Mus musculus: one gene and its partner. The protein of the gene in region 1 interacts with the protein of each later gene in a pairwise test. Links are inferred from orthologs where the notes say so. Each region holds a gene or a part of one and is shown on either strand. Other genes may lie near its edges. The genes, in order: Ldlrap1 and Psd4.

Region 1 (4,579 bases):
GTTGTCTCTGACAGCCTAGCACAACCCACAAAGGAATGAGGGTCACAGTGACCCCCAGGACCTTTAGGAAGAATATCGCTGAGCTGGGAAAAATTCTTGGCAAGGAGCTGAGATGCGATCTTTTGGCCAGTGGGGGTGGTGGCACACTCCTTTGTTCTCAGATCTCTGGAGGCAGAGGCAGGGAGATCCCAGAGTTTGAGGCCAGCCTGGCCTACAGAGTGAGTTCCAGGGCAGCCAGGGCTACATTGGGAAACCCTGTCTCATAAGGGGAAGTGGCCATGAGAAAGAAGAGTCCTCTTCCTAGGTGAGTGGGAAGCCAGCAGGTCGGTGCTTGGCAGCTCCAGCCAGGGTTCTCTTTCTCAGCAGGGGCTGATTCTACCCAGAATCCCTCATCTTTGCTTTGTCCTCTGAGCTTTTGTTTTGTTTTGTTTTGTTTTGTTTTTAATACTCATTATGTCTATGGAGAAGAGTCCCCGTGCATGTGTGGAGGTCACAATTCCTGGGAATCGGTTTTCTCCTTCCTCCAAATGGAGCCCAGGACTAGAACTCAGGTCCTCCCGCCTGAGAACAAGTCCCTTTTCCCATCTAACAGGCTCTGGCCTTTGATCTTAAACGCTAGACCCAAGGGCTGGATAGGTCCCAACCTCTCATGCTGGCCACACCCAAGGCTTTCCTGTCTAACCTGGTCCTGGGGGCCAGCTAGCCAAACCTGGGGTGGAGCTGCCCCCCAACAGCCAGAAAACCCAAGGAATAAGGCTAAGATCCCTGGGCTGGGGAAGCTCTGCCTCAGGCCATGCTCTAGGCCTAGAGTTAGGACTTCATTTCCCGGTCCTATCTCTAAAATGGGTCTGAAGATAAGAATCCCAAGCTTTGTCACCTCCCAGGAGCCAATGAGCTCACAGAAGTCAAATACCAGAGACAGAAGCAGGGGCATGCATTCACTGAGACCACCTCTAGGCAAGTAAGACAAGCACAGACACTCCCACAAAAGTTCCAGACCAAGCAATACTCTTCCCGGCAAAGGAATATTGCGAACTTGACACTTAACCAAAGATAGGCCAGGTTTCTGAGGAGCTCATTGTGAGCACAGAGCTTTGGGAGGAGCAGGGAGAGAGGAGAGCGCTGCATCCCTCCAGGGTACAGACAGGCTGAGGCCCCCATCTCAGAACTGGCCAACCTGATAAGAATCAGGTTGAATCCAGAGGACATGGACATAACTATATGGCGGTGCACACCTTTAATCCCAGCACTGGGGGATCAGAGGCTCAAAGCACACCTGGTCTACACAGCAAGTCCTAGGCCAGCCTAGACAACAAGAGACCTCATCACCAACCTGTAAAATAGACTAGCAACATCTTAACTGACACCTATCCCTGACCAGCCTCATTTAAACTCACTATCTGACACCTCATGACTGTGAACTTCTGATTTGTAGGCTTCCAACTCCCTAGTTCTGGGAGTACAGACACGAACCGCTACACCTGATTTGTTTAGTGCCGATACTGGAACCAAGAACTTAAAGTACCACGGGCTTCCTGCAAGCTAAGGCAAGCATCCTACCAAACACAACACACACATCCCCAGCCCCGCAGGAATTTTATCCCTATTTTCCAGGATAGGAAACAGAATCACTAAGAACAAGTGATCGGCCTTAAGGCTGGAGCTGGAAGGGAAACTTCTCACCATCCAAAATGTACCCTGATGCCCTAGATTCATCCCCTGCTTCCTGGCTCCCTCCCCTTCAGACCTCTTCCCCACCCACCCTTCTCTCTCTTGTCCCAGTAGAAAAACCACAGGGTTCGTCCACTGGAAGAGAAGGTCACACTCAGAAGCCCTGGTCACATCCCACGAATTTTTGAAGGGCTATTTTGGTAGTTAAGTGTGGAAGTCAGTACATGCCCTGCCCAAGGGGCCTCTGACCCCACCCCCGCCAGTAGGCACCAGCACGCGTTCCCGATGCCAGTCAGGGCTAGGAGGAGCCCACAACTGGAACACCACAGTGGGAATGAGGAGGGGCAGGGCGGGCTCCCGAGGCCCAGACACGCTGGCGCTCCAGGGACTAGGAAACTCGGGCTCCCCTGGTGGAGCCCGGCAAGGGAAGGTGCTGACGAGAAGCTGGGGGCGGGGAGGGGGTACTGTTAGTGGGAGAGGTGGGGGGCCCCAGGTAGGTGGCAGGTGAGGGTGTGCCGCGAGCCCGGGTACTTTGGCTTCACATCAGAAAGGGAAGGCCTGGGTGATCATCCCACGCGAATGAAAAGGGAGGAGGGACCTAAGCTAGGTTTCTCAGGCCTCGGGGGAGGGTGCCAGGTGACGGCTCTCCGAAAGTAACCCGAGAGGTGGCTGGGGGAGGCTCCTCTCCACCCTTCCAGACTCCCGGGAGAAATGGCAGCGAGTCTGAGTCTGCCTTTTGCCTAGGTGCCCAGGGACTCGGACCAGCCCCCAAGGAAAAGTACGGAGGAAAACAGGGTTTGTAAATAGCCTGGGCTCCAGCCTCGCCACCTGGACGCGTCCAGAGGGGAGGAAGCGGGACCCTGAATGGCACCCGGGCTGGGATCGCCCCTCGAGGCAGGGACCTGCGAAACTCCAGCGTCCAGAGGGGACCCTGTAGGTTGTGCTGGAGTGGGTAGAGAGGCTCTAGACGTCCCCTTCGCGCCACACCTGGGGACCCCGAGTTAAGCCTGATCCCTGTCGACCTGCCCCAGACGTGCAGCCGGACATGACCCCCGGCCCCGCCGCGCGGGGCGGGACGAAGCCACCCAGTCCACCTTGGCCCGGAGCTCGGCGGAGGCCCGACCCGGGGCGCATACACTCACTGCGGTGCCGGCCGCCCGCCCAGCTCTGCTTGGCCAGACTGGGGCTCCGGATTAGCGCGCGCCCCGCCGACTTGAGCGCGTCCATGGCCCGCTCCGGTTGTCGCCGCCGCCACTGACGCCGCTACCGCCGCCAAAACTCCTCCAGGAAAACTTTCCGCCGGGCCAGGCGGCGCGCGCCCGCTGCGCTCCTCCCCCGCCCTCCCCGCGACGTCTAGGGGCGGGGCCGGAGGGGCTACGCCCACCGCCACGCCCCTAGAGCGCAACCCCGCCCTTCCCGGACCTGGACCGGCTCCGAGGCTGCACGCGCGGTGTTCCTAAACTCAGAACCCACCAAGGCTCCCAGCCCAGCGCCTTTCCCCGTTCTCTAGCTACGGGATCCCATGGCCTTCTAGATAGCTCAGCTAAAAGGCACCTGGATACCGTTTCACCGATGGGAAGAGTGAAAGGTAGAACGATAAGGGTCTTGTTCAAAAATAAGAGAAAGAAAAAAACGATAGATGGGAAGGAGAGGGTCGAGTGGATAAAGGCACTTGCCGCCAAGCTTGACAATGATCCCGGAGACAACACGGTAGAAGAAGAGAATCAACTCCTGCAAATTGTCCTCTGACCTCCTGGCGCTAACAGTGGCACCTCCCCCATTGCTTACATACACAAAATAAATGTAAATAATTAAATAAATATGAGTGAGGGGCGCACCAAAGCAATGGGAGTCTTTGAACGAGGGAATGAAGGCCGCGAATTTTGCTGGGAAGGATCGGGAGTGTATTGGTAGATGCCCTTAGCAGCTTTCTTAGCTGTCCTCTGCCCCCACAGTCTCAGGGACATTGCAACCTTAGACGCAGACTCAGGCATGCTGTGTGACCCAGGCTGTCCTTCCCTGCTCTGAGTCATGATATCTGTCAAATGAAGCGTGATCCTATCTGTAGTGCACCCACCGGCCTGTCTGGGCAGGCCCTCGGTGTGTAGCCTTGCTCTAGCCTGTTTCCAAGGCAGCACCTGCTCCAGCCCCAGGAAGCTGGTAATTTAACTCTAGAGCCAGGAGCGATGGCTCAGACCGGTAATCATAGCGCTCATGGAGCTGAAGCAGGAGGATTCCTGCAAGTTCCAAGGCATCCTGGGGTATAGAGTGAAACTTTGTCTCAGAAAACCCAAATAACAAAGAATTCTAACTATTAAAAAAAAACCAAGAAAACAAAACAAAAAACCAAAAAACCCGCTAACCCTTGGTTCAGACTGTGCCCAAAGGAGTCTGGCGTTCACTACCTGGCTTCCAGAAGCTGGGCTTCAGCAGCGCAGCTGTGACCTCTGGCTAGTTTCAGAAGCCAGCAGATCTCTTCTGGCTGGGAGACACACATGCTGTGTGCTCTAGCTGCCCAAGGAGGCCTGGCTCACATTCCACTCTTTCTAAACCTCCTGTCTGTTCCAAGTGCTCCGCCTGAGTGGACAGTACAGCCAGCCATAGCCTCCTTTACAGCAGGAGACACGACATACCTGTGGTTCCCCAAGAGTCAGAGAGTGATGCCTCAGTGGGAATCCTAGTGGGGGGCATGGTCTGGCCATTATAAGTTTCAGCTGTAAAGGAGGCAAGAAGACCTTTCCCATGGAGCTGTCCTGTGTGACTGGAGTTAGAGGCGATAACTCCTGCCCCTGCCCTCAAAAATCCACCCACCTTCTCCAGGAAGCTCTCCTGGACCACTGTCTCTGGGTTAGATTTCTCCCCATGGGCTCCCATTGCTTTAAACTTGGAACATTATAATGCTGTCCCC
Region 2 (3,500 bases), on another chromosome or scaffold:
CTGCCACTCCAGATGAGATAGCTTGAAGAATCTTTGTGGGTACCTAGGGAAATGTGGCACCAGCTTGGCTCCACTCCTGTGGCTCTTGTTTCTCTAACTCTTCTCTGAGATCTCCTGGTCCTAGCCTAGGCCGGGCCAGGCTGGCTTTGAACATGTATCTCCATTCTGAGGACCTGGGTTCAGCTTCTCCAGATCCCAAGAGTCATAGTTCTAACCCTGAGCTCGGCCATTTCTTCTCATGGCCTTGGAGAACACTTGATGTTCATGTGCACCACAAGTGTGAGGACACAAATGAACTTTTCTAGGCTTCCTGAGAGCCCCATGCCCCAAGCTCAATCTCCAGAGGAAGGCTGGAGGCCATCATCGTCTAGAGAGAAGTTGGCTAATGACATCAGAAATGACAAGGGAGCATGGAACCTAGCCCTGCGCCTCTATCAACTGAATGGTTTTCGGAAGTCTGAAGTAGCTGCCCACCTACGCAAGAAGTAAGGGACTTTTGAGTTTCCCATGGGTGTTCTCCACTGGCCATCCACTCTTGTCCTTCCCCTGACCAATATCCCTACTTTTCCTCCAGCCTTATTACTGCTTGTCCCCTTATCTCTGTTCTGGTTCCTCCCTAGCCCATCTCTCTACTTAGCTAGCTCTGCTTATTCTCAGTCTCCCTTGAAATAACTCTTCTCTACCCTGGCTCCTTCCCTTGCCCATCCAGATCCCACTTGGCCTATCACAGATAACCCTGAACCAAGCAGCAGGGGCAGGCAAAGCCACTGGCTGCTATCTTGGGACCTGGCACCTAGCCTGGTTATACTTTTCTTTAGCTTTTGCTACCCTGGGGCCCCTCTGTACCTACAGCTCAGCCTGGTCCCAGCAGTGTTTTAATTTCCATTGCCCTCTGCAGCAATGACTTCAGCAGGGCTGTAGCCGAGGCCTACTTGTCTTTCTTCCAGTTCGAAGGTCAGAGCCTGGACAGAGCCCTCCGGTAAGGCCTTCTGCACCTCTGAGGAGGCAGGAGTTGGGTGTGTGGGGTGGTTAGTAACAGCTGTGGGACAGTGGTCCCAAGTTCATGGAGAATGTGGCTCTGCTCAATCCTGGCCTTCTTGGGCAGTGGTTTCCTCCAGGCCCTGGTGCTCAGTGGAGAGACTCAGGAGCGGGAACGAATTCTCTACCAGTTTTCCAAACGTTTCCATTACTGCAATCCTGGAGCCTTCCCCTCAGTAGGTATGGAGGGTGGAATAGGGCTGGGGTAGGACCTGGGGTTGGCATAGAAACAGCATGTGTTTACACGGGATCCTTTGAGCAGCAGCTGCTGGGAGTCTATTGGGGCTGTGGAGAAATGGGGGTAGGGGGGTCACCCCTAGTGTGGTCCAGATTCCATTGAGCGTTGTACTTTCCTCTCTCTCTGAGGCAGATTCTGTTCACACGTTGACCTGTGCAATCATGCTCCTTAACACAGACCTACATGGGCAGGTAAGGAGTGGGGAAGCAGCTAAAGAACAGAAGTGGGGGGTCTGGAGGATGGGGGAGGGGGATGTGGCATGAGGCAGGAAGAGAGGACCAGAGACTGGAAACACGTCAGAGTGGAATGTTCAAACGGTCCCATTTCTCCACGGCCACAGAACATTGGCAAGAGCATGAGCTGTCAGGAATTTGTAACCAACTTGAATGGCCTGCAGGATGGCAGGAACTTCCCCAAAGAGCTGCTGAAGGTATGGCTTCCTCACAAGACCTGGGCCCTCTCTCTCTTCTCTGTCTGTAGCCTAGAACTCTAGTTCCAAGGGGGAAACTAGAGCTTAGACACGGCTGGGATGAAGTCTTTATGAGGACAAGTTTTGCCATTGTGTCTCTGTCTGGTAATATCAGTGGTATCTTGGGGTTTGTTGTCTGTACAAATTGATACCCTTGGACCTATAGAACCATACTCTACGCATCTGAAAATGTTTATTACATTCTCAGAAGGGTTTTATCCCGCTTTGAACTCTGACAAGTGCTACTGTCCTTGCCTTGTCCTGTCCTGGGATTGAATGCATGATACACAAAGTTCCATGTATGGAAAATCCTGATCTTGGGTTTGGGGACTTGAATGTCCCTGGTTTGAATCCTAGTCTTCAGCAGCATGTCCCTGGGTCAATTCAAGTTGTTTCTGGAGGAAATGATCACCTCACTATGTCATTATGAAGATGAAATGAAAGCTGTCACAGGCCATGCACTATGTCCAGCTGACACAAGCTCCATAAGCAGTTGGACCCCTGGTTCTTTTTATCTACTTGGTGGTCATCTACTGGATGCTTCCTCTACTCCACATACCTGCCAGAAACACCAAGTGCTCCAAAAGCAAGCAAGATGTATCCATAATAATGCATCTGTGACGTGACCGCAAAATTCTAACCCAGCATCCATCCATTCATTTATCAAATATTTATTGTGGGTGTGTCCTTCAGCCATGATCCTTTGTCAGAAAACCCCTGGACAGACAGTATGTGGGTAATTCATGCGCCTTCTCAAAGGACTAGTTTAGAATGTACTGGGCTTCTGCAGAGCAGGACCTTGGCCTCTTTGCTATCTTTATGTCTCCAGTATCCAGCACAGGGATGGATGGGTGGAGAAGTGGAGAAATGGATCATGAATGCTTGCCTGGTTTTGGAGAAGAACATCTATGATGGGGTAGAGGAAAAAGGTGGTACATTTGCCCATAGATGTGTACCAACCACATGAGTGACCAGACCACCTGCTGATCTATATGCTTCTTCTGTTCCAGGCCCTCTACTGGTCTATCCGCAGTGAGAAGCTCGAATGGGCTATGTAAGAGCTCCCGTTTCCTCCCCTTCTTGCCCTTCATCCCTGCCACTAAGCCTGTCTACCCACTGCTGCCCACCTGAGAACTAGAGAAATTGAGGGGTCTACATAGTTCTGCATCTGAGTGGGTGGTGCCTACAGCAGGGGGGCTGGACCAGTTTGGGGAAGAGCAGAGGAACTTGAGCAAGGCTGGGGAAGCCAGAACTGATGTGGGGTGGGTACAGTTAGTGCCTCAAGAAGCAGAGGGTACTTGGTCTACCAGCATCCCGACCCTGATTCTCTGCCATCCAGAGATGAAGAAGATGCAGACAGACCCGAGAAGGACCAACCCTCTCCCTCAGCTGGCAAGATAAGCAGCCCCTTCCTGCAGATGGCTCAGGATCCCACGATGCCCACCTATAAGCAGGGCATTCTGGCTCGGAAGATGCATCACATTGCTGATGGCAAGAAGAGTAAGTGTCTGCTGCAGGGGGCGGAGAGTGTGTAGGGAGAGCTCTCCTTGGGGACCCTGTCCTATACTGTGGTACACAGAAGAACGAGCAACCTGTGTTTCTTTCCTGGATGGTAACTGAATGCTGTATAAAATAGGTCTGGTTATCTCCAGACCCTAGCACCACTATGGTAAGACAAAGACTAGACAAGCACATAGTGTCTCAGTTGAAGGTGGAAGGGGACTGTGTTTCGTATGGGGGCAGGAGGAGGGAGAG

What was found.
Region 2: the proteins of Ldlrap1 (region 1) and Psd4 interact in binary tests that used the Homo sapiens proteins (3 or more experiments, as listed by UniProt). The two-hybrid records come from large-scale screens. The link is inferred for Mus musculus from reciprocal best matches to the Homo sapiens genes LDLRAP1 and PSD4.

The regions. Positions count from the first base shown.
Region 1 is NC_000070.6:134,765,003-134,769,581, forward strand, and holds the start of Ldlrap1 (low density lipoprotein receptor adapter protein 1), read right to left. Parts: upstream 3,003-4,579; 5' UTR 2,899-3,002; coding exon 2,814-2,898; exon of another isoform or gene 2,808-2,813; intron 1-2,807. UniProt on the Homo sapiens protein: Adapter protein (clathrin-associated sorting protein (CLASP)) required for efficient endocytosis of the LDL receptor (LDLR) in polarized cells such as hepatocytes and lymphocytes, but not in non-polarized cells (fibroblasts).
Region 2 is NC_000068.7:24,400,116-24,403,615, forward strand, and holds part of Psd4 (PH and SEC7 domain-containing protein 4), read left to right. Parts: intron 1-305; coding exon 306-485; intron 486-898; coding exon 899-979; intron 980-1,105; coding exon 1,106-1,218; intron 1,219-1,408; coding exon 1,409-1,467; intron 1,468-1,616; coding exon 1,617-1,706; intron 1,707-2,755; coding exon 2,756-2,799; intron 2,800-3,084; coding exon 3,085-3,245; intron 3,246-3,500. UniProt on the Homo sapiens protein: Guanine nucleotide exchange factor for ARF6 and ARL14/ARF7. Through ARL14 activation, controls the movement of MHC class II-containing vesicles along the actin cytoskeleton in dendritic cells. Involved in membrane recycling.